Linked DNA regions of Mus musculus. Each later gene encodes a partner of the first gene's protein in a complex. Links are inferred from orthologs where the notes say so. Each region holds a gene or a part of one and is shown in the gene's direction. Other genes may lie near its edges. The genes, in order: Usp39, Prpf4, Prpf3, Lsm5, Lsm2, Snrnp200 and Lsm3.

Region 1 (3,000 bases):
GCTTCAGAGACCTCTATATACTAGAGGCAATGGCTTTAGTTCTGTCTTACTGTTAGATGCTCCCTGAAGCTTTCTGAGGTCCTAAGTGCTGGCCCTGCCCCAGCACGGCCACAGTAGACATTGGTTTTCAACTGGAGTAGAGGCCAGGGATGTAGCCACAGGGTCTACAGTGCTGTTACACCCTTCCTTAAATCCAAGCTATTGATCCTAGTTAATTAGGAAACTGCCTTAGATTATGTGGATGTATAATGAAGTGTTAGGTGCTCTGAGGTTCTCCTGGGGATTCTCATACCCAGCCAGGGTTGAGAACTTGTGTTCTGAGTCAGAGCCCCACCAGCCAGAGTGGTACCATCTTAGGGCTCCTTACAATGGCAGAGTCCCAACCCCGTGGAACACTTCATTATTTAACAAGACCCTTTGATGTGTTTGAAATTTACATTTTGAAGCTTTGTCTTTTTATGGCATCGTTTGACTCTGTAGCCCAGGCTGGCTGAGAACTTGAGGCAGCTCCGCCCTCAGCTTTCTAGGTCCGAGGATCACAGGCATTACTACCATGCCTGGCTGAACTAAAAAAGTTTTTTTAAGAGTGTGCCTAAGCTGAAAACGAAAGCATACACAGGATATTTGTACAAACACAGGATTTAGTGTAGGTTGTTTTAACCTGGTTAATGTCTCTAGGACTAGTGGTTTACTGTCCTTAAAGCATAGCTCTCACACATGAGGAAGCCTAGGCCGTCCTATGCTACTGGCTTCAGTTAAGTCTTCAACTTAACTGAGTTTGTCTGATTTACCATTTTTTTTGACAGAAAAAAAGACATTAGAGATTAGAGGGCTTTCTCTTTTTCCTCTTGAGTGGCCACCTAAATTCATTTCCAGAAGGGTAGAAATGGGTTTGGGGATTTAGCTCAAGTGATGGGGTATCCAGTGTGCACAACACCTTAAGCTTGATTCCAGACACCACATAAACTGGGTGTGGTGACATACACTCTAATGTGCCTGTACTCCAGAGGTAGAAGCAGAGAATCAGAAGTTCAAGGCCGTCCCTCCTTGGCTAAAGAGAAAATCTGATGCTAGACTGGTTATGTGAGGGCACCCTTATATACAAACACAGAGAAAGGACAGAAAGGAAAGCAGAATGTTTGGGACTTCGTTGTACTTCAAAGGCTCCTCCACAGGAATTGAGGTTGCCTGAACTGTTTGTTGAATCAGGTCTAGCCAAGGTTATGAACCATCCTCATGGCTCTTGCTGATGTTTAGTGGCCATTCTGATGTGTCTGTCTCTTGGCTGTGACCATTTTTAACCTCTGATTTTGGAGAGCCATTAACCCAGCTCTTTGTGCTTTGTGCAGGGGACTGGCAAGTGGTATGAATTACAAGACCTCCAGGTGACAGACATTCTGCCCCAGATGATCACACTGTCTGAGGCGTACATTCAGGTGGGTGTGGGCCAACGCAGGAAGTGGAGCTGCTGTAGCCTTGCTTGCAGGGCCCGGTGCTTTGAGTGTAAGGGGATCAGATTGTGTGGCTCCAGAAGCCAGTCAGACTTTCAGAAAGGAAAAGTATGGAAGCCTATCAGTCAGCAAGGAAGCAAAGAAGTGTGTGTGTGACTTGTGAGTTAGCAGAGATCTGTGGCTCTAGTTCTAGGAGATCCAAAGCTGTCTTCTGACCTGTGTGCATTACCAGGCATGCCCATGGTGGGCACATACATACATGCAGGTGAACACGCATACACATTGAATAATAAATAAATCTGAAAAAGGATGGAAGAAAAGTCACGGGTGAGTGGGAAATGAAAATGGAACGAAAGGCGCTGTTGTGGATGGTGCGGATTGTTTTTGAGACTGGCGTGTGTATCGGTGTCGTGCTGTCTGTTTGCTGCACAGAATAGTTACTTGAGGGCTAACTCACTGAAGAGATCACTTTCTATTTCTGACAGATTTGGAAGAGGCGGGACAATGATGAAACCAACCAGCAGGGGGCTTGAACGCCTTGTTGGGTTTTTATTCCCAAGGGCTGTGGCTGAAGATGGTAAATAAAAATACTGAAGCTGTCGCTGAACACAGACTGACTGAAAGATTCCTGCCCCAGTCCAGTTTTTATGGATTCTGGCTGCATCACCATGAAGGAGCCTGTCTGCCCTGATGTTCTGCGCTGTCTCCGGCAGCACGTTGTGGTCGACACTCTTCCCTTTCAGCATCAGCAGGCAGAACTCTTACAGATGGATGCCTTATTTGAATTGCTGCAAGTATCAAAGAACAGACAGTTCGGTAGAAACGTCAGGTCTGGAGACCCTAGGAGTAAACGTGAAGTCAGCAGCAGCCTTCTGTCATAGGTAGTGGCTTTCCTGTAGCTCCCTTCATCTCCTGTGGGACGTGTGCGATGGATTAAATATCCTCCTGTTTTTAAACCAGGCTGTTGTTTCATATACCCCATTGAGGCTTGTTAAGGGTTTTGTTTTCCTTCTTAACTTTATATTATATACTCCTGTCTGTAGTCTGTCAGCTTGTGGGTGGGCACTATCCTTGTCTCTTCCTGTCAGCTTGTGGGTGGTATGTCGTTAGGGGTGTATTTGTCTCTAAGTCACAAAATATCTGGCTAAAATGATAGGTTTTCGTGCCTACCTAGAAGGCTGACAGTGGGTGATTTGGGACTGAGGTTCCCCCCCCCCCCCCCCCGCACCCCCAGGCAGAGAAGTGGAATCATTGTAGCTTGAGCAGGTCTCTGCCAGGCTGATGGGAAGCCCGAGGCAGGGGCTGACTGGCAGAAATGGCTTCTGTCAAGCTCAGTCACTGAAGGGTTGGAGGCCTTGGGCCTGAGATGTGGGCAAGCTGGCACACCAGTGGGCAGCAGGCAGCTCATTACAGCAGCTCTCTTGGAATTGGTTTGTTTCTTTGTTTCTTTCTTTCTTTTTTTTTTTTTTTTTCTTTTCTCTTTTTTAAATTTTAGAGACAGGGTATTGCTATGTCCCTATCTGGCCTCTAGCTTCGCATCCTCCTGTCT
Region 2 (3,500 bases), on another chromosome or scaffold:
CTCTTTGGCTGGCACTGGGTAAGACTTTCTCCACAAAGCAAGACCAGGCAGCTTAGTGGTCTCACCTCTTAGGCAACCCCACTTCCTCGTCAGACTGGATTCCGTGTATTCATACAGATGTTATCTCCTCAGGGGACTGGATGCATTTGGCCGGGTTTGGGACCTACGCACAGGACGCTGCATTATGTTCCTGGAAGGCCACCTGAAGGAAATCTATGGGATAAATTTCAGCCCCAATGGGTAAAGCAAACTAAGTGGATGGGAAGGGTCCTGGCCAGACAATAATCTCTGTTCCTAACTATGATACGTCTGATCCTCAGCTACCACATTGCCACTGGCAGTGGTGACAACACCTGCAAAGTGTGGGACCTTCGGCAGCGACGCTGTGTCTACACCATCCCCGCCCATCAGAACTTAGTGACCGGTGTCAAATTTGAGCGTAAGCTTTTCTCTTGTTCTCAGCCTTAACACCAGACACCCTTTGCTTCATGGAATACATCCTGGCCATTAGACTAACTTAGACATGGAACCTTGTTAAGCAAATTTCAGCTTCCTTCCCTCTGCCATACCTATAGACAGCGCTATGGCAAAGCATGCCTTCTTGAAGCAAAGAGTTCTGCGAAGGCTTCATTTCATTTTGTCCTCCATGAATGTCAGGCACTAACTAGATGCTTGCTGTTACTGAACAGACCATCCACCTGGGAAAAGGCAGCCACACAGCCTTCATCTGTTACATGGTTATCCTCAGTCTGCTCATGACCGTCTCTTATCTTGGAGGCCCCTAGGAATGCAGAATGAATGAGTTCAGTTTATCTGAAATCAGAAATAACCTTTCTTTCAAAATAATGTGTTTTGTCGGGTCTTTGTCTTTTTTCTTTTTCTTAAGCTCTTTCTGAATACTTGAGTTCTTCATGTTTGCTTTATGTCTTCTGCAGCTATCCATGGGGACTTCTTGCTCACAGGTGCCTATGACAATACAGCCAAGATCTGGACCCACCCAGGCTGGTCCCCACTGAAGACCCTGGCTGGTCATGAGGGCAAAGTGATGGGCCTGGACATTTCTTCTGATGGGCAGCTCATAGCCACGTGCTCCTATGACAGAACCTTCAAGCTCTGGATGGCAGAGTAGGCCAGACCACGGAAGGACTCAGAACTTGTGTTCTCACGACGGAGCCATTTCCTCAAAGGAAAAGAATTGTATTGTGTTCTATCATGTTTCCTGCCAAATACCATGTGTTGGATTGGATTTTCACATCAGCCCACTCTTGAGGAAGCCTGTCTTTAGGTGGTAGCAAGCCCTTCGTGGTTAGAACAAAATTCTCATCTCAGGTTCTGCCAAAAACTGTAGATGTTGTATAGACTCAACACTTTTCAGTGCCCTGCCTCCTCCCTCACACTCAGGATTGTGACCGTTCTTTCATTTTTGTTTTTTTTATTTGGCATTTTGAGACAGAATCTGTAAGTATATCCCTGACTGTCCCGGAAGCCTTACATTGTAAGTAATCCTCCTGTCCTGCCCTTCGAGTGATGGCATTATGGAAATGTGCTGCTGTGCCTGGCAGTTGTATTTTTAGTGCTTGAACTTGGCTCTCTATAACATGGTATGTGCTTGGGACTACGGGTGATTCAGCAAGCAAGATAGCTGGACTGGCTAGGCAGTGGTGGCGCATGCCTTTAATCCCAGCTTGGGAGGCAGAGGCGGGCAGATCTCTTGAGTTTGAGGCCAGCCTGGTCTACAGAGCAAGTTCAAGGACAGCCTTTTCTCTACCCTGTCTCGAGGAAAAAAGAAAAAAAAGATAGCTGGACTGTATTTGAAATCTCCCCAGTTATGAGGACATGTCACCACCATTTGTGGCGAGCTCCTTTCCTGACGCCGAGAATGAAACCAGAGCCATAGACTGCAGCTGTGTGATAGCTCCACAGTAAAAAAGATTTTCCCTTTCTGTGGTGTTCACGAAGGATGTTCACTGCAGCTGGGACTCAGAACTGCACACTTGGCCTTGTTAGAGCCAAGTTAGAGCCTCTTCCTTTTGGCTTTGAAGTTTGATATCCTTCATGACAAAACAATCTGGCCATTGTATCCAGATTCAAAGGGGTTTTAAAAACAAACATGATGTCTGTGTTGTACAGCCTCCTTCCTGTTGGTTATTTAAAGGGTGTACCTTATGTATTAAAGAACACTTCATGTCAAAGGAACTGGAAAAAATCCTAATTTATGTTTGGGTGTTACCAAACATAAACTTTTATATATAAATACACACACACATACATACATACACACACACACACACTTGCTGAGAGTAAAATCTTACTATAAAAACTCTTTGAAAGGATTATTTTCTATTTCAGCATTTTGTGAACCTAACCATTTGTCCAAAGAGATCCCCTTCTTTAGTTTTGAGATCTAATGTAATTCTAGGCCTGAATTGTTCCACTTTCTGTTACTTTATTCAGATGTTTATTGTGGTGTTTTTTGAGGGGGGAGGAAGTAGCAGGTTTTTGTGACAAAGGGTCTTACTGTGTAGCTCAGATTGGCCTCAGAGTCAAAATCCTCCTGCCTCTGCATCTCAAGTCCTGTAAGTTGTAGGTGTAAGCCATCAGTCACATCCAGACACTAACAGCTTCTTTACGTAGAGTTGTTGGCCCAGGAGAACACCAGGTTTTCAGGTGTGTCTGGGTTCCATAGTTCTTCCTCATCAGTCAGTGATTGGCTTCACCTTGCTGCACTCCAGAACTGCACGGTAAATCCGCACAGAGCAGTAATTTCAGAGAAGGTTGTGTATAGTGTGAAATTCCCTCTCCAGAATTGGAAGTTTACACACCATCGGCTTCCTGTTCTGCCCTGCTCTTCTGTAGATCATGAATATATGGTATATAACAAAACATTTGGGGAGGGGCTGGTTTCTCTGTGAAGCCCAGGCTGTCCTAGAACTCACTGTAGACCAGGCTGGCCTCAAACTCAGAGATCCGCTTGCCTCTGCCTTCTAAGTTAAAAGTATGCTCACCACACCCAGCTAAACATGTGATTCCAGTCATAACCAAGTATATTCCGTATATGTGGCTGTTACGCCATTCAGGCCTTCCCTTCACTTGGCACTTAACCACCCTTAACCTGTTCTATGAAATTACCATTTTCTTGACATCTTACAGTGTTTGTAAAATGATGAGACTGGCATAGAGCCCTGCATTCGGGATCTGGCACATTTGAGTTCTCTGGTCTGAACCTTACTAGGAACTTAATTTTCGGTTGATCCAAGAGAGCATTCGAGTTGGAAATGTTCCATGTAAGCCTTAGGCCGAGCAAGTGTCTGGGGAAGTAATCCATTTCTTCAACCACTGTAAGAAAATAGTGGATTCTGAATGGCAGAACCACTGTCATTTAACCCTACCTCAGTGGTGCATCAGGCACATTAAGAGAATTCATTCTTTTAAGGTTGCTGGGTGGACTTGAATAACTGCTGAATTACCCAGCTGTAAGCAGTGGAACTATGTGAACCAGT
Region 3 (3,500 bases), on another chromosome or scaffold:
TTCCTGGAGGAGGTGAGTTTTAGACAGGATTTGTGGGAAGGAGGAAGAGCATTACAAATGTAGGCAGTAGCACTGGCAAAGATCTTGAGATGGGAAAACTTATCAGAACATGGGAATGAAATTTGCTTGAGTGGGGTAAGAGAATGATGAAGTTGGGTGAGATGGTCCACTTGGAGGAGTATCTAGAGACCCTGCTTCTTGCAAGTAGTTATTTGAAAGGTTGTCATATCCCCTGGGAAACCACAGGATGCTGGTAGGGTTGGGATGGTTGTTCCTTTCCCCTAGGGAGGGGTGCAATTCTTCTTTCATCTTGGGTTCCTTTAGGAGGTGTTTGGTGATGACTCTGAGATCTCAAAGGAATCATCGGGGGTAAAGAAGCGGCGGATACCCCGTTTTGAGGAGGTAGAAGAGGAGCCAGAGGTGATCCCTGGACCTCCATCAGAAAGCCCTGGCATGCTAACAAAGCTCCAGGTTAGTTAAAAGAAGCAAAGGGATTTTGTGAGTTGTGGCACCAGGCTCACAGTGATCATGATTTGAGTTTGTGTTAACCATTTGAGGAAGTTTTACTTTTTCCTTTATATTTTAGCAGTCTTTGGTTTGATCAGAAGTAGCCCAGCTAAGGATTATTGACACTGTATTTATTGAGCACCTAGTGTGTTACTTCATCGTTTGCCCAGTTGTCTGCCTCATCAATGTTGGAAAATGAAATGAAATGATAGCACTTAGCTTGACTATATCTTTAGAGCTTCTTTCTGCTCTTCGTTAGAACATAACAAGCATCGAAAGAGGCCTTGCACCATTGCCCATGCATACCTACAGTAGGAATTCAGGGGCTGATAACATGATCATTAACATTTTTAAAGACAAAGTCTTGCTGTTACCCTAGCTGGCCTCAGACTCAGATCTGCCTGCTAGTGCTTCCCAAGTGCTGAGATTAAAGGTGTATGCTACCATGCCTGGCTGATAACCATGATTTTTAAACATAGTATGAATTTTTATGTGCATGCAGGAACCTGTGGGAGTTAGAAGTATCAGATACCCTAGAACTGGTTAGAGATGGTTGTGAGCCACCATATGGATGCTGGGACCTGAACTCAGGTCCTAAACAAGAGTGATTGGTGCTTTAGCTGTGAACCATCTCTACAGCCTCCCTGTCCACTTGAATGTAGGAATGAATGTTAGGAAGTGTGCATGTACTGCTTCCCCTCTTTTAGATTGATGAGAGGTTAAGGTATTAATGCCTTATCCAAAGAAATACAGGCAGAAAGTGTGGTACAGTTCTAACCTCATATTGTCTGAGTCTCAGTCACATATACTACCTAATATATCAATCCTAACATGGGGGGAAAAGATTGAAAAATTCTAGTGCTTAAGGGTATAGGCTTATCTTTAGCAAATTTTCTTGTCTATGGTATAGATAATATATTTATTGTGGAGACATTCACAATCTTTTAGGTCTCTAGAACTGAATGCTTTTTAATTTAGGAACATTTATGGGAGGAAATAATCTTTTCCACCTTTTCCCTCTGGAGAACAGATCAAACAGATGATGGAAGCAGCAACACGACAAATCGAGGAACGGAAAAAACAGCTGAGCTTCATCAGCCCCCCTGCACCTCAGGTATGGTGCCTGATTGCTCGGAAAAGAAGAGTTAGCACAAGGTTGTTGTCATTCATCCACATGAGAGGCCGGAAAGGGCTCCAGTTGTCCACCATAATCTGCCATGCTGTGTATGTATCTGTATGCCTATCACACACTCTCTGATTTCTTTTAATCTCTTGTCTTATAGCCAAAGACACCTTCTTCTTCCCAACCAGAGCGACTTCCCATCGGCAACACTATTCAGCCCTCCCAGGCCGCTACCTTTATGAACGATGCCATTGAGAAGGCGAGGAAAGCTGCCGAGCTGCAAGCCCGAATCCAGGCCCAGCTGGCGTTGAAGCCAGGGCTTATTGGCAATGCCAACATGGTGGGCCTAGCTAATCTCCATGCCATGGGCATAGCTCCACCGTGAGTATCTTTCACACAGTCCCATATCACTTCTAAAAGTTCTGGGGTAGTTATTTAAAGGTAATTTACTTGAATATTACTAACTTTTTTTTAAAAGACGTATTTATTTTATTTATTTTATGTACGAGTACACTGTCCTGTCTTCAGAAACACCAGAAGAGGGCAGTGGATCCCATTACAGATGGTTGTAAGCCACCATGTGGTTGCTGGGAATTGAACTCAGAACCTCTGGAAGAGCAGTCAGTGCTCTTAACTACTGAGCCATCTCTCTAGCCCGTTACTGACTTTTTTAAACTCAAAGAACATTAAATAATTTCTTAAAAGTTTCCCTTTCTTTTTTTGGTTTTTCGAGACAGGGTTTCTCTGTATAGTCTTGGCTGTCCTGGAACTCACTTTGTAGACCAGGCTGGCCTCGAACTCAGAAATCCACCTGTCTCTGCCTCCCAAGTGCTGGGATTAAAGGCGTGCGCCACCACCGCCTGGCAAGTTTCCTATTTTTAATAAATGATTTTAATTCAGTTACATTTTTTGGCTTTATTGTAGTTTGTTGTCTGCTTATAACTGATAGAACTAAAATAATACTTTTCACTTAATAATGGAGGTAAGAATAGAATCAGATTTCTTGGCTTATTACTTAAGAGCTTCAGCCATTAACCAGTATTGGTCGAGACCATATGTTAGATGGGTGGCACATGGTGGTACATGTCTGCAACTCTGTTACTCAGGAGGGAGAAGCAAGAGTAGTGAGGTAAATATGAATCTAGACTAGTCTACCTAACAAGTTCTTAGCAAGTCAGAACTACATAGCAAGACCCTGTCTCGTTTGTGATTGTTCTGGCATCCCAAGACTAATTCAAGAACTTAGGAACAGATGATAGAGTTGCTTCCCATGCATCCCAGTGGTAGAACATCTGCCTAGTATGCAGGAGGCCTTGGGCTCTCAGACTCTTGAACCACCACAAAAGGGGTGGGGGTGGAGGGAAATGACCTGGAAGATGGTTCAATGGTTAAACTACTGGCTGCTCTTCCAAAGGATTCAGGTTCAATTCCTAGTATCCACATGGTAGCTCACAATTGTTTGTAACTCCAGTTCTGCAGGATTCAACACACTTACATAGACATACATGTAGGCAAAACACCAGTGCACGTGAAATAACAACAAAAGAAGCAGGGGTGAGGGTAGGGGTGGAAAGGTGGCTAAGTAGTTAAGAACACTTGCTGCTATTCCAGAGGACCAAGGTTTGGTTCCCAGCACCCACAGGTTGGCTAACAGCCATCTGTAAGTCCGGTTCTAGAGGACTTGAAAATAAATTTTGAAAAAAAGAGAAGAATTTGGGAATAAAATAAGATTAGATAATGGCCAAGTGGTAGTGGTGGCACATATAATTTCAGTACTTATGAAGCAGAGGCAGAGGCAGGGAATCTCTGAGTTTGAGGCTGGTCTGCTTGGTCTACATAATCTGGTCTATATCCTGTAAGTTCCAGGATA
Region 4 (4,288 bases), about 16 Mb from region 1:
GGTTTAAAGACAAGATCAACAAGAGAAGCTTGGAGTGACACACATCCACTGCACACAATGTTTCCTTTTCTCAGAATGCGGCTTTTGCCTCTTCTCTGCTTACCCATTCTTAGTCACTGTGTGAGAAGACTCCCAACAACTCCTCAGTTCTTCAAGCTGTGGCCAAGGGACAGTGTTTTAACTTGTTTTAAGCACAAGGAACTTAATCCTGACTCTTACCTCAAAAGGATGGCTGTCAAGTGTGTTTGTAATTGCCTTGGGACCTAGTAGATCTGTAAGACTTATAGATTGGGCGTGGAGGAAAAAAAGCCACCACTGGCTTGGAATTGAGAATGGAGCTGAGTTTTCATTGCTTTCCATATTAAATCCCATAGTGCTGTGCACATGAAATGTACTATTTGTCCTCCTTCCCACTCTCTTGGTTGAAGACTTTTCTGAACATTGTTTTATGTATCCAGCAAGCTGCTAGTCAAACAATATTCCACTGATATGTTTTTTCAATGGAGGAATGAAGGGTGCTCATCTCTCATATTTAGGCTGTTTGGTTTTAAGTCTGTCACATGAGATGGACAAAGGCAAAGTATTTATCTGCTTTAACAACAACAACAACAACAACAACAACAACAAAACAAGCACGTAAACGAACAAACAAAAAACACTAGGGCCCAAACTCCGGGCCTCATGAATGCTAGGAAAGTACCCTATAGCCAAGCTACCAGCTAGCCCTTGTTAGTTTTAATTTCTTATTTTGTGTCGGGGTCTAAGAGGGCCATGCCTGCAACAGATGCCTCCTTTTGTCTCTCAAGTGTTGGGTTTACTGGCCACTCCACGTTAAAAGGGGGCTTTTTAATCTTTTCCAATGCAGAAGTGTGATAGCAAGGTTTCCAAACATGATGGAGTCAACATACAGAGTGACATCTTACGGTTGCCTGCAAATTGAAAACTGATAGTGACTTTAATGCCTGTAATAAACCAGACACCTAGAAACGACAAGAAGAAATTAAATAATAGTAGAAGTTTTTTGTTTGTTTGTTTGTTTGTTTGTTTTTTCTAAAAAAAAAAAAGCTTGTGAAAAATGCTGCTTTATAGACTTTCAGTCCTCTGGCCTTAAAAGTACCAGATTCCTTAAAAAAAAAAAAATGAGTAGTTGTTGAGGAGCATGCAGAACGAGTTTATAGTAGGAAATATAAATTGATTTTATTGCTCTGAAGAAAGATACAGGCTTGAAATGCAACCTTCTAGAGGAAAATTAACCGACTCAGAGATCTCGTATGCTGGTCTTCCGGCGGCAAATTATCTCTGAAGTTTAGCAAAACTTGGGGGTACCATAGGTGCCTGTTGGGTTGGTGGCAGGGATAGAGATCCGAACCTCTCTATCGAATCTGTCTGCGATCCATTGGGATCCTCTGGATCTCAAGATCGGCTTTGGATTAGTCTTGTCTGAACCAGCTGTGGAAAAGGGCGGAAGCGCGCAATTTTAAAGTCTGCGCCGGTGTCCTTAGCCACTTCCGGCGTGGCCATGGCGGCTAACGCGACCACGAACCCGTCCCAACTCCTGCCACTAGGTAAAAGTCTTGTTTGGGGAGCGGTCGGGTTGCTGCAATTCCACGCTGGGGGCCGAGGCTGGGCCACCGCCCCTCCGGGCCCGGCTGTCCGGTCCTTGGCGTCACTGGGCAGACAGACAGACCGTTTTGCCTGTCGGTGGTCGGTGAGGGTCCCACTTAGTGAAGGACGTGCTCGGCCTTTTTGAGCTCGCCAGTAAGATGTCATGAGTCGCGCAGTCCCAGTTCTCAGCTTGGCCTTCTTGGTCTCCAGATCAGGTAGACCCTGTATTGGCTTGGGTAAGGAGTGCGCCACGGCATACAATGAATCTTACAATAGAAATCTGGAAACTAGCCCCGTCGTTCATTAATTCAACAAGCAATTCCCGCGCAGTGCCAGAGAACTGTTGAATAATGAACTTGAATTACAGCCATTGCTTTCAAGATCGCACACCGGCACGCATCGTGCTGAGCAATTCTAAGATGCTGAGATGAACAGGTTGGCCCAGGAGCACAGAGAGTTAAGGTTAAGTGAGAGAAGGAGTGACGGGAAAGCCGGTGTCTGTAATAATGCTTCTCCCTTGTCATGTTTTGGGGCTGGTGAGCTTAGTGAATGTGTCTGTGATTGAAAGTTTTTGCAGTGTTAGATATTGTTTATCGGTACAAACACTGATGAAGAAAAACAGTTATGGTCTCCACCCACCTCATGGTGTGTGTTTTCATACATTAATCAAATAATCTAAATAAAAATCACAGTCCTATTAATTGCAAATAAAGAGTTAAGTGAAAGCTAAGGCAAACATTTGTGCTAACGATTAAACAGAGATTTGTGTAAGATGTAAAATTACCGAATGGTTCCAGATACATATGTAGGAGAGTATGGCCTTTTTTGACATCATTGGGAGGGGAGGCTCTTGATCCTGTGGAGTTTGATGCCACAGCATAAGGAGAATGCTGGAGTGGGTGGGTGGGTGGGGGAGCACCCTCATAGAAGCAATTGGGGAGTGGGGAGAAGGTAGATATGGGAGGGGTGTTGTGGAGGGGTAACCAGGAAGGGGGAATATCATTTGAGATGTAAACAGATGGAATGATTAATAAAAGTAAGTAAATAAATAAATAAATAGCAAAAAACTGAATGTTTTTGCTTATCTTTAATGATAAAAAATAATAAGTGAAGTAGGCATTCAAATGTTGGTCGATCTAATAAGTAGGTAAAATTACCCTTTTCCTTCCACAGAGCTTGTGGACAAATGTATAGGGTCAAGAATTCACATTGTGATGAAGAGTGATAAAGAAATTGTCGGGACACTTCTAGGATTTGATGACTTTGTCAGTATCCTTTTTAAAAGCGGGAATGGTGTAGGTTTCTAAAGATGTATTAATATAAGAAAGAACTATAGACAACCGAAGAATTTCTGGTTATTACATTAAGAATAATTTTGTTTTCCAGGAACTTGGTAGTATTTTAAGAGGTGTGTTTGCTGACAGTTGATAGGGCTCTTGCCAACAACAAACCTTTTGAATTTGCACTATCATAGTGTTGAACATATTTTAAACCAAACAAAAACATATACCTGAATAAACCTTATTTATTTTCTTAACATTAAATTCAGATATGGTGTTGGAAGATGTCACAGAATTGTGAGTAGTATTTAAAAAATTAAAAAAATTTGAGAGGAGGGGAGGAAATCTCTTTTTAATTAAAGATGGTGCCTTGATTACTTTTTTCTATTAATGTGAAGAGACAGCATGACAAAGGTATCTTATGGAAGAATGCGTTTAACTGGGGGCTTGCTTACAGTTTCAGATGGTTAGAGTCCCTGACTGTCCTAGCTAAGAGCTTATATGTTAGATAATAACCAAGAGAGAGAGAGAGAGAGAGAGAGAGAGAGAGAGAGAGAAGTAAATAGAGAACGCGAGCGCACTAAGTGGGTATAATTTAGGTTTTTGGAATCTCAAAGCCTAACAGGGTGATACACCTCCTCCAAAAAAGGCCACACCTCCTAATCATTTCCAGTTTGCCAACAGAGGACCAAGTGGAGGCCATTCTCCTTTAAACCTCCATAGCAGCTTTAGTATGATCGATATAAAAAAAATTACTTGTTGGAAAATACCTTAATACTGAAACGTTATTTACTGGTGTTTGTGAGGTCCAGTTAAAGGATTATTATCTTCATATTATTCCTGAATTTGTAAGAAATTAGTGTGAACAAGCTTTATGGTGAATTATATTTACATGAGTATTATCCAATGGGCAGTTTGTATTCTGTATATATTTACTGTAATTATATGCGTTCACATTGAATCATGTGTAAGAATAACAGCTTTGTCACTAGGGATTGAACCCAGGGCCTTGTGTGTGTGCTCTGCCACCAAGCTATTCTCCTTACCCCAGTAGGACTTTTAGGGAGGGAAAGTGTTTCTAATACTGCCTTTGATTACTTGTTTATCCAGACTCCATTTAATCTATCTTTTTAGTGAAATTACACCAGAAGGAAGAAGAATTACAAAATTAGATCAAATTCTACTAAATGGAAATAATATAACAATGGTAAGACATTAAAACTTTTCTCTGGAAATTATTTTACTTTTGTAGTGTAGGGATTATGGAACTGACTTAAACTTCTATTTCGTTGGCAATGTTCATGGCACTGAGATAGACACACTGAGGATGGGAAGGGAGCCTTGGTGATCTGTGCCTCAGGGCAGCTGTTGAAAGTGCTTTGGTCCTTGTCTTAGTCAGGGTT
Region 5 (4,176 bases), on another chromosome or scaffold:
AGAGAATTCCACCCTGCAATCAGCAGGTTTAGACTCTCAGAATTTTCACCTGTGTCCCGTGACTGCCTTGCACCTACAGCCAGCCTCAAGAAGAGAAGACAGAATAGAAAGTGTTTCCCTATTTATCCAGACATGATATCCACAGAAGATACAACCTAGCAACTTCCCACTTAATGTAATTATTTAAAAAAAAAAAAACAATAGGGCTGGAGAGATGGCTCAGCAGTTAAGAGCACTGACTGCTCTTCCAGAGGTCCTAAGTTCAATTTCCAGCAAGCACAGAGTGGCTCACAATCATCTGTAGTGGGATCTGATGCCCTCTTCTGGATGTCTGAAGAAAGCCACAGCATACTTACATAAAACAAGTCAATCGAAATAACAACAAAGCCCTTTCATCTCAGACCATCTCTTTCTTCTCTGGAACTTGCCTACTGAGGCTTTTCTAGTTTTTTGTTTTTTTTTTAAATCAGTCAGCTCTTGTGAACTCCTTCACAACCAGCATGTTACAAGCCTGGTAATGCTGTTCCCAGAACATCCAAAGTAGTATCTGTCGGTGATCTAGTTGAAAATATTTCAGTAATGCAGGGATGGATCAGCAGTTACAAGCATCTGTTGCTCTTCCAGAACACCCAGATTTGATTGCCAGCACCCACAAGGAGGCTCACCATTGTAACTCCAGGCCCAGGGCATTTGAAGCCCTCTCTTCTACCAGGAACTCATGTAGTACAGACATAACATACAGGCAAAAACTGTCAAACACACACAAAAAAAGCTAAGATAAAGTAAAATATTTCTGTCACTGAGTTCCAGTCAGTTTAGTCCTTTACAGACGAGTCCTATGCCAAATTATATATATATATATAACATTAGAGCTGGGATGTTGTTCATTTGCTTTGCTTAGAATGTGTCCGCTCTGGGTCAACTTTGCACCCCAAAAGACTGAAATTGAGAGAAACTTACTTACTGGGAACCTTTGATAAGAATCAGGATTTGTGTTCCGGTTTCTCTCTCACACTCACACACACCATAACCAGTGTGTATTGGTGTATATTTTATTCTCTGACACAGGGTCTTGCTATAATAGCTTTAGTTGACCTCTAAACCAGAATCCTCCCGTCTCAACTCCAGGATTCCAGTTGGGCACGAACGCTGTCCAGCTCTTAGCAACATTTTAAATTTTACTAAAGAATACGCAAGTCATAATTTTCTCAATCTTCCCAATAATTCCCCATAGAAAACGTAGACTACGAGCTAATCACGCGGCAGAGAGAAAAGTCTCAACAACCATCAGAAAAAGAGACGAACTACGTCCAACGCGCAGCTGCCACGGCCCACGCATGCGCTTGTGAGAAAGCGGCTGCTCGGGAGGAAGTGGGGGGGACAGGAAGTTCCGCCCCTCTACCGGTTTGGCGGTCCTCTCGGCTCTGCCCTACCCCGCTCCCTTTGAGCCTGAATTCAGCCGAGGTTTTCGCGGCTCCCCGTGCGCCTGCGTGATCCAGTCTTGCTTCACGCGCGGGCTCGCGCTCCGGCTCCCGCCCTGCCTCCGGCTCGCAGTCCCCGGCGCCTTCCTTCGCGGTCCAGGCCGCCCCGCGTGGCGCCAGCACCATGGTGGGTACCGTGACGTCAAAAGGGAGCGCCGCCGCTCGCGGCGGGCGGTTCGAACCGTGCGGGCGTGGGTGCGGGCACTCGTGTCGGTCGCTTGGGGCGGCAGCCAGGCCCCAGGGTTTTCCGTACAGCCTTACTGCCCACACCCCAGTGTGAGGAGGCTGCTCGGAGCCGATGGTGTTTTGGGGGAAACCTTTAGCAAGTCCAAGAGAAAGCCCACGGGCGCCGGGGGAGAACGGGAAGCGAGCCTTGCACTTCTGTGCTGTTGACGAGGACTTTGTGAGGGTGCGGTTGGGAAGCGGTCTCAGCTGGGAGGTGGTCGACTCAGAGAGTGGGTTCTAGCGTCGAGGGGTGCAACGCAGGTCCTGTCACTCCGTGGCTCCGTGAACTGCAGAGTCCCGTTTAACGGATTGTTGTTGGTTATGAAGTTTTGAGAACTACTAGGAGGGGCTACAAAGACTAGTATTTCAAAATACTGTCACGGGCTCCTCCTCCCCGTCCCTTTTCATGTGATAGTTCCTCCCTCTTTTCCAATAGCTCTTCTACTCCTTTTTCAAGTCTCTTGTGGGCAAGGATGTAGTCGTGGAACTCAAGAATGACCTGAGGTAGGTCCTTATTTTAGCGAGTTGGTGGAAGGTGGGGGTGCCGGGTGTCCTGATCCTTTTTGTCGTTGTTGTTGACAAAGTTACTTCAGAGTAGGTAGGCAAAACACAGAAGAAATACCTTTCGTCTTAAGTGTAAAAGATTAGTTTAAGAGTGAGCCTGGTATTGTGACACATGCTTGTAATCCCAACACTGAACGCAGAGGTGTGAGTTCAAGGACAGCTTGGTCTACATATGTCCAGGGCCATCCGGAGTTACACAGTGAGATACAGTTAAGTAACATGTATGTGTAGTCCTGGCTGTCCTGGAACACACAGATCCACATGCCTCTGTCTCCTGAGTGCTAGGATTTGCCTGGCTGTATCATTTGCTCTTAACGATTCAGGAGTTGGGGTAAATGCTTAAATGCTGTACCACTGGAAATATGTTTATGGGTTCTTGTCACATCCGTTAAGGTCTACTTGGTTCCTAATAGTGCTTCGAAAATTATAGTTTCATTGAAGCCGGGTTTTGTTTGCTTTTGTTTTCTTTCATGTACTGGGCATGCTCAACAAGTGAACTTCATATGCAGCCCTCATGTTTCTCTTTAAAATAACTTTTTTTTTTTTTTCCAGACAGGGTTTTTCTGTATAGCCCTGGCTGTCTTGGAACTCACTCTGTAGACCAGGCTGGCCTCGAACTCAGAAATCCGCCTGCCTCTGTCTCCCGAGTGCTGGGATTAAAGGCGTGTGCCACCACCGCCCAGCAAAATAACTTTATTTGTAGACTCTTGAAACCTTTGAACACACATCAGTGGTTGACCAGCAGGATGGTTCTGACCAGTGTGGCCAAGTTAGAAGCTGGCCCAGACTGAGGTGCAGACTAAGACCTTTCATAGTCTAAAAGTCAAATCACACGAATGGTCTACAGAGCTGTGGGGATTCATAGGATGTAGAGAGTGAGGAAGTAAAACTCAGGATCTGAGGTGGTTAAAGTTGGTTACACAGAGGGTAAATATAATATAAGGTGGGGCATGTAAGGTGGTATGGGAGCACTGGCCTTGATAACCTTGCTTAGGGGCTAGAGGGCTGGAGAACTGAGAAGACTTGACTTGTATCTTCATTATTAAAGATAAGTTGGGGGGGATAACATTTGAAATGTAAATAAAGAAAATATCCAATTTTTTAAAAAAGAAGAAGAAGCCGGGTGTGGTGGCGCAGGCCATTAATCCCAGCACTCGGGCTACACAGAGAAACCCTGTCTCGAAAAAAAACAAAAACAAAAAAAAACCAAACAAACAAACAAAAAACTCATACGAGAAAAAAAAGAGTGTAGCAAAAATAATAAAGAGTAATTCCAGCTACCAGTATGTGTACATAGGTCTGTGACTCCAAAGCAGTAAATGTTTACAAATAACAGTTAGGGAAGCTGCAGAGATTGCTCAGTGCTTTAAAAAGAGCTTGCTGGGGGCTGGAGAAATGGCTCAGAGATTTTAAGAGCACTGACTGCTCTTCCGAAGGTCCTGAGTTCAAATCCCAGCAACCACATGGTAGCTCACAACCATCTGTAAAGAGAGCGGACATCAGACGCCCTCTTCTGTAGTGTCTGAAGACAGCTACAGTGTACTTAGATATAATAATAAATAAATCTTTAAAACAAAACAAAACTTGTTGCTCTCCCTGAAAAATAAGAGTTCAGTTTCCAGCAACTACATTAGGTGATTCACACCTACCTAGAACTCTGGCTGCAAGTGATCTGATGCCCTCTTCTGGTCTCTGTGGGTAACTACATGCACATACACACAAATAATAAAAATCAATATTTTAAAAATAATAGTTGATGCTTCTGGGAGTCATGCAGATCTGGGCTGACCTTCAGTTTATTGGTTGTAAGTTTTGTTACCTTCCATGACCTCTCTCATATCCTGGAGGATGATAATACTTTGAAAGATGATTAGCTAAGTGGTGTTGATAGCAGTGCATCCCTTAA
Region 6 (3,500 bases), on another chromosome or scaffold:
CAGATCTCCTGGAATTTGAGTTGTGATTTTTCTTTTGAGCCATCATGTGGGTGCTGTGAATTGAACCCAAGAGCAAAAGCAACGCAGTCCTAACTTGTGAGCCACATCTCCAGCTTGTGTAGTTTTGAAGATGCATGCTTCTTTACTTTATATTGTCACAAAGCTGGTCAGTGCCCTTCTACATATTATTGTTGTACGTTGTTTGTATTCTCAGCCTCGAGATATTCTTTGTGGAGCAGCTGATGAAGTCCTGGCTGTGCTGAAGAATGAAAAGCTTCGAGACAAGGAGAGAAGACGGGAGATTGACCTGCTGCTGGGTCAGACAGATGATACCAGATACCATGTGCTGGTAAACCTGGGCAAGAAGATCACAGACTACGGTGGCGACAAGGAGATACAGAATATGGGTACCTGAGCTCTTTGTGTCCAGACCATGTTTTGTGGTTGTTGGCCTTTCTGTTGAATACTCAGCATCTTTGTTAAAATTTTAGAATAGCATTGTTTCCATAGCTTATGTTGTGTTGCTTAAAGAGAATGGTGATCTGCAGGCCTTTTGGCACAGGCTTATCCCAACAAGTCAGCCTGGTTTGCATAGCAAGTTCCAGCTGCAGGGTTCCTAAGCAAAACCCACCTAAGAAGAATAAAGTGGAGAGTTATCTCTTGATGTTTGGTTGTGAGCCTTATCCTTTAGTAGCTGAACTATCTCTGCCACCCTGGCAGCCATTTTTAAATTGAGACCTATTGTGTAGACAGTGAGAGAGAGCAGGGAGGGCTTAGGAGCTGAAGAAGCAGAGCAGGGTAGAATCCAGGTTGGCAGGCTTGAGAGGCCTTGGTGCTTGTTTTCGTGTTGGTTAAGTCTGTGTGTTCTGGCCTGAGAGTAAGCAAGCCAGGCAGCTGAGGAAATGGGCTTGAGTGTCTCCACACTAACCACTGCCCTCTCTTTGTAATCCCACATCTCCTCAGATGACAACATTGATGAGACTTATGGTGTGAACGTGCAGTTTGAGTCTGATGAGGAGGTGAGTGGCTTTAAATGGATCCCTTCTGTTGTGTGATGTTACCAAGGTAGTGGGAGCTCTTCTCATAAACTGAAATTCCTAGCTAAATGCGTTTTACAGTGTTTTGTGGTATACTTACAAATTTTGTGTCATTCTGCTTAAGAAGTTATTGTGGTTCACGTTAGGTTCTTTTAGAAGCTAATCTAAACTAGTAGGTGTACACTGACAGTTTATAATAAACCAGATAGACCAATGAAAGTAGGAAGGAGGACTGAGAAATGCCATCCTGTGGGCACAGTGCAGTTATTGCAATCATGAACTCAAGCAGCTGCACTTACTTACTGTGGGCCTGTCCAAGACTGGCCCTGTCAACACCCAGTCAGAGATTGGGGAGGAGTCTTCTCCCTGCTACCTAACTATTGGTTATTGATAGATTATGGAAAGGGGGTCATTATCTTCAGTCCTGTAACCACTTCTAAGCCTTCTGGTCTCTGATGGTTAAATTCAGTGGGTCACAAATAACACAAGGAGGCATGAGTGTGAGAAACAGATGTGTAGGGAAGAGGAGGCTCCGTGAGGTGTGGGGAGCTGCAGTAAGAGAGCTTGGTATGGGGGCTGGCGAGATGGCTCTGTGGTTAAGAGCGCCGACTGCTCTTCCGAAGGTCCAGAGTTCAAATCCCAGCAACCACATGGTGGCTCACAACCATCTGTAACTAAATGTGATGCCCTCTTCTGGAGTGTCTGAAGACAGCTACAGTGTACTTAAATATAATAAATAAATAAATCTTTAAAAAAAAAGAGAGAGAGAGCTTGGTATGCATTGTGTGCGTGCATGAAATTGTCAGAACCCATTTAATCAATAAAGAAAAAAGATAAAGCACATCTTCAGTGACGTTGTGTCCTGCTGGAGTGTTTTAACCATAGTATAGTAATTCACGGCTTTCGAGTTGTGGGCTAATTGCTAGTTTAAGAATGCATATTCACCTAAGAGTATGGATGTAATTGTACTTGGCTATTTAGCTGTTGTAGCAGCTCCTGGGGTTAAAGCTTGCCACTTCTAGATTATAACTAAATATGAATAGTGGGACAATTGAAAAAGGAAAGTTGAACCAGGAATGGTAACACAGTGCCTACATTCCCAACAGTCAAGAGGTTGAGGCCAGCTAGGCTACATAGTGAAATTCTCTACATGTCTCTTAAGTCATTTTTTTTTCAGATTTATTTATTTTATGTATGAGAACACTGTAGCTGTACAGATGGTTGTGAGCCTTTGTGTGGTTGCTGGGAATTGAATTTAGGACCTTTGCTCTCTCCTGCTCAAAGATTTATTTATTATTGTAAATAAGTACACTGTAGCTGTCTTCAGACACACCAGAAGAGGGCATCAGATCTCATTATGGATGGTTGTGAGCCACTGTGTGGTTGCTGGGATTTGAACTCGGGACCTTCAAAGGAGCCGTCAGTTCTTTTAACAGCTGAGCCATCTCTCCAGCCTGTCATTTTTAAAGTTGGTTACTTTAGAGTTTTCAGTGAGTGAGTTTGTGTTCTGAAAAAGAAAGTACCAGTCCTGAAATGTCCTGGAAGATAAGATGTTACTGGAGTCAGGGTGAGCACTGAACTGAGAGCCAAGGAATCTTGAGTTTGAGCCTGTATCTTAGGCAGGTCATTTTGCCTCGGTTTCTGTTTTAGTAAAACAAAATGCTACTTCCTACAGAATAGTTAATTGGTAGAGTTTTTCTTTTCTCTTCCTTTCTTTCCTTCCTTTCTTTTTTTCTTTCTTTTTTTTTCCAGACAGGGTTTTCTTTTGTGTAGCCTTGGCAGTCCTGGACTAGCTCATTAGATCAGGGCTGGCCTCAAACTTACTGAGTTCCACCTGCCTCTGCCTCCTGAGTGCTGGAATTAAAGGCATGTGCCATCACTGCCCAGCTGTTAATTTGTAGTTTTAATTAGGAACAACCTGATACAGATTTCCTTGCTCGTAGCAATTTATTTAACAGATGTTAATTATTGAACATGATGTTTAAGTCCACAGTCCACAGTTGAGATTATGCAAACTAAGCATGATGTCTACATTTCTGGCTCACAATCTACTTTCCTGTGTATTCGTCTTCATAGCTCCTCCATTAGCCAGTAGTCTTAGTTTGATATTATCTGTGTTTCAGAAGGAGCATATGATCCCAGTGTTTGATATTTGCAGCTAAGGTGAGAAGCAGAAAAGAGGATAGATACATCTAATAAACCCATTCCAAATGGTCATTCCATTGATATTCCTGGAATATGGTTGATACACTATTGGCTTTACCCCAAAGCCGTTGTTCTAAGTATGGAGCTTACTTAGAGTGATAGAAAGCAGGACCTGTATGACACAGGGCCAGTTCTACATCTGTGTTGAGATTGTATTACAGGTAACATTGTCTCCATAGGAAGGTGATGAAGATGTGTATGGGGAAGTCCGAGAAGAAGCTTCTGATGATGACATGGAAGGGGACGAAGCTGTTGTGC
Region 7 (3,969 bases), about 19 Mb from region 1:
GCAGAGCGCAAGTCTGAGGGGGTTTTAGATAAGAAGACAGAGGCATGAGGTTTTGTTGTTCTACATCCGTTTGGCTGCTAGATGATGACCTGAGGCAGACAGATGAGAGGAAGCCAGAAAAGAAGCAACGTGAAGTTCACTTACTCAATTGTGGACAGGATCTCCAGCTATAAAATTAAAGAGAATTAGGTACAGATTTCATTGGTTCCGAAGCTGACTGGACTTGCTGCCGAACTGGCAGTTAAGAAAAGGTGTGATTTATTGAAATGGAACAACTGGAGGATGGATTTGTTTAAGAGGGAAGATGGAAGTTTTGCTTTGTTCAAGATCTAGGTAAGAAGCGCATTCTAGCCAGGGCGCAGTGGCAGACACGGGTTAATCCTAGCTCTAGGGAGGCAGAGACAGGTGGATCTCTTGAGTTTGAGGCCAACCCGGTCTACAAAGTAAGATCCAGAACAGCCAGGGCTACACAGAGAAACCTTGTCCGGAAAAACAAAGCAACAACAACAAAGCACATCCTAAACTCTGGAGTTACACTGGATGGCAGTCGGGAATTTGGAGAGAGATCTCGCACGCACTAGAGTCTCCCTCCGTCTTGGTTTTGGGGTCTCCTTGAGACACCTGGTAACTGCGAAGCTTTCTGCTGCTCAGCCTTCAACACTTGCTTAGAGGCTGAACTTGGCTCTAATGGTTAACAGAGGGGTTTAAGGCTGATAGCAGAGGCCCTCGGGGACGCCGCGCACCCGGCCGTGGAGACCTTGCCACAGGCGCAGATCCGCTCCGCCGCCCGCACCAGCCTCAGCCACCACTGCCTGGCATGTTGCAGACTCGGCCTCTCACCCGCAACGCTCTCCTCGTGCCGGGCTACTTTGTTGTCCTCGGTTTTCTGGCCCCGCTTCCGCCGCCTTCCGTCTGCGGTGCGCTTTGGGGCCATGCTAGCCAGAGGCGTTCCTCGGGACTACCGCGCAGGACGCCGCAGGTCTCCGCGTGCCCGCCCCGCCCGGAGGCGGGCCACGCCTGGCCGCGCCCCCAGCCCAGGGTAGGACCACGCCCTCGAAGGAAGCCCCGCCCCCATGCAAACTACGAGGGCGCGAAGGGACAAAAATAATATAGTTCGCCTTCAGTGCGTGGCGGCCTAAGGTTTCTGAGTTCCTGTTCCCGCGAGAGGTGGAAAGGGCGCAGCGTTTGAAACATGGCGGACGACGTAGATCAGGTAAGTTTGACCTGAGGCGTTCGAAGAGGAAATGCTTTCGCTTCTCGCTTTTTCCACGCTTCCCGTGGGATGGCCCTTTTCTTTTTTTCCGAGTCACCACGGCCTTCCGTAGCCGGGCCTGCTCCTGAAACCTCCGTAGGCCCAGAGTTTCTCAACCCGCCCGTCTACCCATCGCGCTCGTCGTCGCCCTTTCTCTGTAGAATGAATGCAGGCGGCTGGAGATGCCCATCTCTGGGAGCTAGCTGTCGGGATTCCGACAGAAAGCGGGAGGTCGTAGCAGGACACCAGTTTAGCAATCCGAGTGAACACGGGGGGCACAGGCAGTGGTTCCCTTGGAGTGAATTACGAGGGGAGGTCAGAGGAAAGGTGCAGTTCTAGGAGATGGAGAAACTGCTAGAGATGGAGTATGAAGAAAACAAGCAAAGATCTGGTACACAGGCCAACAGAAGGGCCTACGGGCCTCTGCACCTACCCTTCCCTATTTCTTAGGTAGCTGGTGTACCTTGGCCACCAAAATGTCTTTCACACCCTCACATGCACACACAGCCCCTGCACACACACACACACACACACACACACACACACACACACACGTACGTACGTGCTACCCTACTGTGTTTCTCTCCAGAGCATGTTGTTTTAAATATGTATAGCCCCTGCACACACACACACACACACACACACACACACGTATGTACGTACGTACGTGCTACCCTACTGTGTTTCTCTCCAGAGCATGTTGTTTTAAATATGTATTTATTTAAAGTGTTTCTTCCACAACTAGAGTGTAAGTTCCTTAATGGGGATTTATTGGGGCTGGAGAGGTGGCTTGGCAGATAAGAGCGCTTGCTGATCTTGGAGACAACCCTGGTTGTGTACTAGCACCCACATGCTGCTCTCTCAGCTGACCAGTGATTGAAACACCACCCGGCCTCTGTATCCTATGAGTAAGCCTTTGCCTTTCCTCAGCAACAGACCACCAATACCGTAGAGGAGCCCCTGGATCTGATCAGGCTCAGCCTGGATGAGCGAATTTATGTGAAAATGAGAAATGACCGAGAGCTTCGAGGCAGACTACACGTAAGTCTGTTAAAACATCTCAGAGCCAGAGGCTGCATCCTACCTCCTTACAAATTAGAACTGCAGTGTAAACTTACTTTTTTGAATTTCTTTTGGGAATTGGAAAATCCTTCTATTCACTTTTAAAATATGTTTTCCTTAACCAGAATGGTTTTTTAGAGAGGGGTGGGACTCCGGTGAGACAGAACAAGGCATCTGATCCCCTGGAGCTAGAGTTACAGACTGTTGTGAGCTGCCTGATACGCTCAGGTCCTGTTCAGGAATCCAGTGCTCTTAGCTTGAGCATCTCTCCAACCATAGAGAACACTTTCGTTTCCTTCAGTTTTGTCTTCTGCTTATTTATGAATAAACTTGTTTGTTCTCTTGGGTTTAGACAAGGTCATACTAGAAAACCTGGCTAGCTTCAAACTCCAGCTCCCTCTGCCTCTCTCCTGAGAGCTGGGATTACAGACATGCTCTTCATTCTTGGCATTGTCCTGGATTTTTTAAAGTTATTGGATAGGGTATTTTAGCTTTTGACATATAAAGCTCTGTTTTGTCATGAAAAGAATTAAATAGCAGGCTAGAGATAGTTTGCCTAGCATGCGGCAAAGCCCCTACCCTAGCACTACCCAAAAAAAAAAAAACAAAAACAAAAACAACTTCATAGAAATGGGTAAAATTAAAGGCGAAGTTCCATTTTTCTCTATGTCTGACCACTGTTCAAAGTTGGCTGCATAGTCGTCTGCATGTGTATATGCCACCTGTGTCTGAAGGGGAGCCTAGTGAGGAACGGAGGCATGTGCCATGGTTCCAGTACTTAGAGGACCAAGGCAGGACGATCATATATTTGAGGCCAGTCTGGCCTACATAGTGAAACCTTGTCTCATATGTACACACTTTTTTCACATGTTTTTTGTGTGGAATAATTACACAGCTGACACAACGCCACAGGATACAGGATTCTGTGTCAGACTTCAGTCTCCCCCCCCCCCCCCAGCTATAAAGCTGCAATGGGTACTTTCACAGATATTGCTTGTGCACATTTATATGTCTGAGGAATTGGTCCCATCATTGTGTACTTAAGGTTTTGTCTCCTCTTGTTACTTCCCTCAGGGCTGTTTGTTTACAACAGGAATTGAAATAAGTCTTTTAGTTCAGGCTTAGAAATTAGAAACAACCCTCTACTGACAGTGACAGAGCCACTGTAGGGGACCAGGCCATCCCACTTCAGTCTCAGTCTTAGAAATTCATGTTCTTTCATGAAACCCAAGGATAAAGAATTGATCTACAAGCTGGCCTTGTGGGAACAGCAGTGTCAGTTTGGTGAGAAATGTGGGATGATGCTAAATTGCATGGCACTCTGGTGCACGGAATGATCCCCAGGCCAGACTGTGGCCTCTAACTTGGAGTTGTCTGCAGCTCTTACCTCTGCAGTAACGGCCCAGCTTTCTGTTTCCTCCCTGCTCTCCAGATGAGTTGCTCATTTGTGTAGCTGCCAAGCAGTTCCTTCCCAGTGTGGCTGTTAGGCTATTTTTAATCTTGATATGAGCAGGCAAAAGCGCTTAGCACTTTGTTAGAAGAACATGCAGTGGGTTCTGAACAAGCCCCAGGAGGTTTGCTGTTTAGTAAAAGGAATGAACTTTGGAGATTGCACTGAACACTGCGGTTGAAATCCTTCCTGATTGAGCCCACAG

Evidence for each region.
Region 2: Usp39 (region 1) and Prpf4 share a complex: the UniProt entries of both Homo sapiens proteins name them as parts of the U4/U6-U5 tri-snRNP complex. The link is inferred for Mus musculus from reciprocal best matches to the Homo sapiens genes USP39 and PRPF4.
Region 3: Usp39 (region 1) and Prpf3 share a complex: the UniProt entries of both Homo sapiens proteins name them as parts of the U4/U6-U5 tri-snRNP complex. The link is inferred for Mus musculus from reciprocal best matches to the Homo sapiens genes USP39 and PRPF3.
Region 4: Usp39 (region 1) and Lsm5 share a complex: the UniProt entries of both Homo sapiens proteins name them as parts of the U4/U6-U5 tri-snRNP complex. The link is inferred for Mus musculus from reciprocal best matches to the Homo sapiens genes USP39 and LSM5.
Region 5: Usp39 (region 1) and Lsm2 share a complex: the UniProt entries of both Homo sapiens proteins name them as parts of the U4/U6-U5 tri-snRNP complex. The link is inferred for Mus musculus from reciprocal best matches to the Homo sapiens genes USP39 and LSM2.
Region 6: Usp39 (region 1) and Snrnp200 share a complex: the UniProt entries of both Homo sapiens proteins name them as parts of the U4/U6-U5 tri-snRNP complex. The link is inferred for Mus musculus from reciprocal best matches to the Homo sapiens genes USP39 and SNRNP200.
Region 7: Usp39 (region 1) and Lsm3 share a complex: the UniProt entries of both Homo sapiens proteins name them as parts of the U4/U6-U5 tri-snRNP complex. The link is inferred for Mus musculus from reciprocal best matches to the Homo sapiens genes USP39 and LSM3.

The regions. Positions count from the first base shown.
Region 1 is NC_000072.6:72,318,176-72,321,175, reverse strand, and holds the end of Usp39 (U4/U6.U5 tri-snRNP-associated protein 2), read left to right. Parts: intron 1-1,349; coding exon 1,350-1,436; coding exon of another isoform or gene 1,437-1,440; intron 1,441-1,936; coding exon 1,937-1,984; 3' UTR 1,985-2,164; coding exon of another isoform or gene 2,165-2,235; 3' UTR 2,236-2,500; downstream 2,501-3,000.
Region 2 is NC_000070.6:62,422,283-62,425,782, forward strand, and holds part of Prpf4 (U4/U6 small nuclear ribonucleoprotein Prp4), read left to right. Parts: coding exon 1-18; intron 19-132; coding exon 133-240; intron 241-320; coding exon 321-439; intron 440-935; coding exon 936-1,129; 3' UTR 1,130-3,500. UniProt on the Homo sapiens protein: Plays a role in pre-mRNA splicing as component of the U4/U6-U5 tri-snRNP complex that is involved in spliceosome assembly, and as component of the precatalytic spliceosome (spliceosome B complex).
Region 3 is NC_000069.6:95,845,886-95,849,385, reverse strand, and holds part of Prpf3 (U4/U6 small nuclear ribonucleoprotein Prp3), read left to right. Parts: intron 1-324; coding exon 325-471; intron 472-1,537; coding exon 1,538-1,621; intron 1,622-1,790; coding exon 1,791-2,011; intron 2,012-3,500. UniProt on the Homo sapiens protein: Plays a role in pre-mRNA splicing as component of the U4/U6-U5 tri-snRNP complex that is involved in spliceosome assembly, and as component of the precatalytic spliceosome (spliceosome B complex).
Region 4 is NC_000072.6:56,701,900-56,706,187, reverse strand, and holds the start of Lsm5 (U6 snRNA-associated Sm-like protein LSm5), read left to right. Parts: upstream 1-1,488; 5' UTR 1,489-1,519; coding exon 1,520-1,565; intron 1,566-2,778; coding exon 2,779-2,874; intron 2,875-3,154; coding exon 3,155-3,182; intron 3,183-4,019; coding exon 4,020-4,092; intron 4,093-4,288. UniProt on the Homo sapiens protein: Plays a role in pre-mRNA splicing as component of the U4/U6-U5 tri-snRNP complex that is involved in spliceosome assembly, and as component of the precatalytic spliceosome (spliceosome B complex).
Region 5 is NC_000083.6:34,980,478-34,984,653, forward strand, and holds the start of Lsm2 (U6 snRNA-associated Sm-like protein LSm2), read left to right. Parts: upstream 1-1,376; 5' UTR 1,377-1,605; coding exon 1,606-1,608; intron 1,609-1,652; exon of another isoform or gene 1,653-1,779; coding exon of another isoform or gene 1,780-1,890; intron 1,891-2,142; coding exon 2,143-2,210; intron 2,211-4,176. UniProt on the Homo sapiens protein: Plays a role in pre-mRNA splicing as component of the U4/U6-U5 tri-snRNP complex that is involved in spliceosome assembly, and as component of the precatalytic spliceosome (spliceosome B complex).
Region 6 is NC_000068.7:127,211,386-127,214,885, forward strand, and holds part of Snrnp200 (U5 small nuclear ribonucleoprotein 200 kDa helicase), read left to right. Parts: intron 1-214; coding exon 215-407; intron 408-963; coding exon 964-1,019; intron 1,020-3,421; coding exon 3,422-3,500. UniProt on the Homo sapiens protein: Catalyzes the ATP-dependent unwinding of U4/U6 RNA duplices, an essential step in the assembly of a catalytically active spliceosome. Plays a role in pre-mRNA splicing as a core component of precatalytic, catalytic and postcatalytic spliceosomal complexes.
Region 7 is NC_000072.6:91,514,866-91,518,834, forward strand, and holds the start of Lsm3 (U6 snRNA-associated Sm-like protein LSm3), read left to right. Parts: upstream 1-1,169; 5' UTR 1,170-1,192; coding exon 1,193-1,213; intron 1,214-2,182; coding exon 2,183-2,293; intron 2,294-3,969. Other genes in the region: Xpc (DNA repair protein complementing XP-C cells homolog), read right to left, coding at 841-934. UniProt on the Homo sapiens protein: Plays a role in pre-mRNA splicing as component of the U4/U6-U5 tri-snRNP complex that is involved in spliceosome assembly, and as component of the precatalytic spliceosome (spliceosome B complex).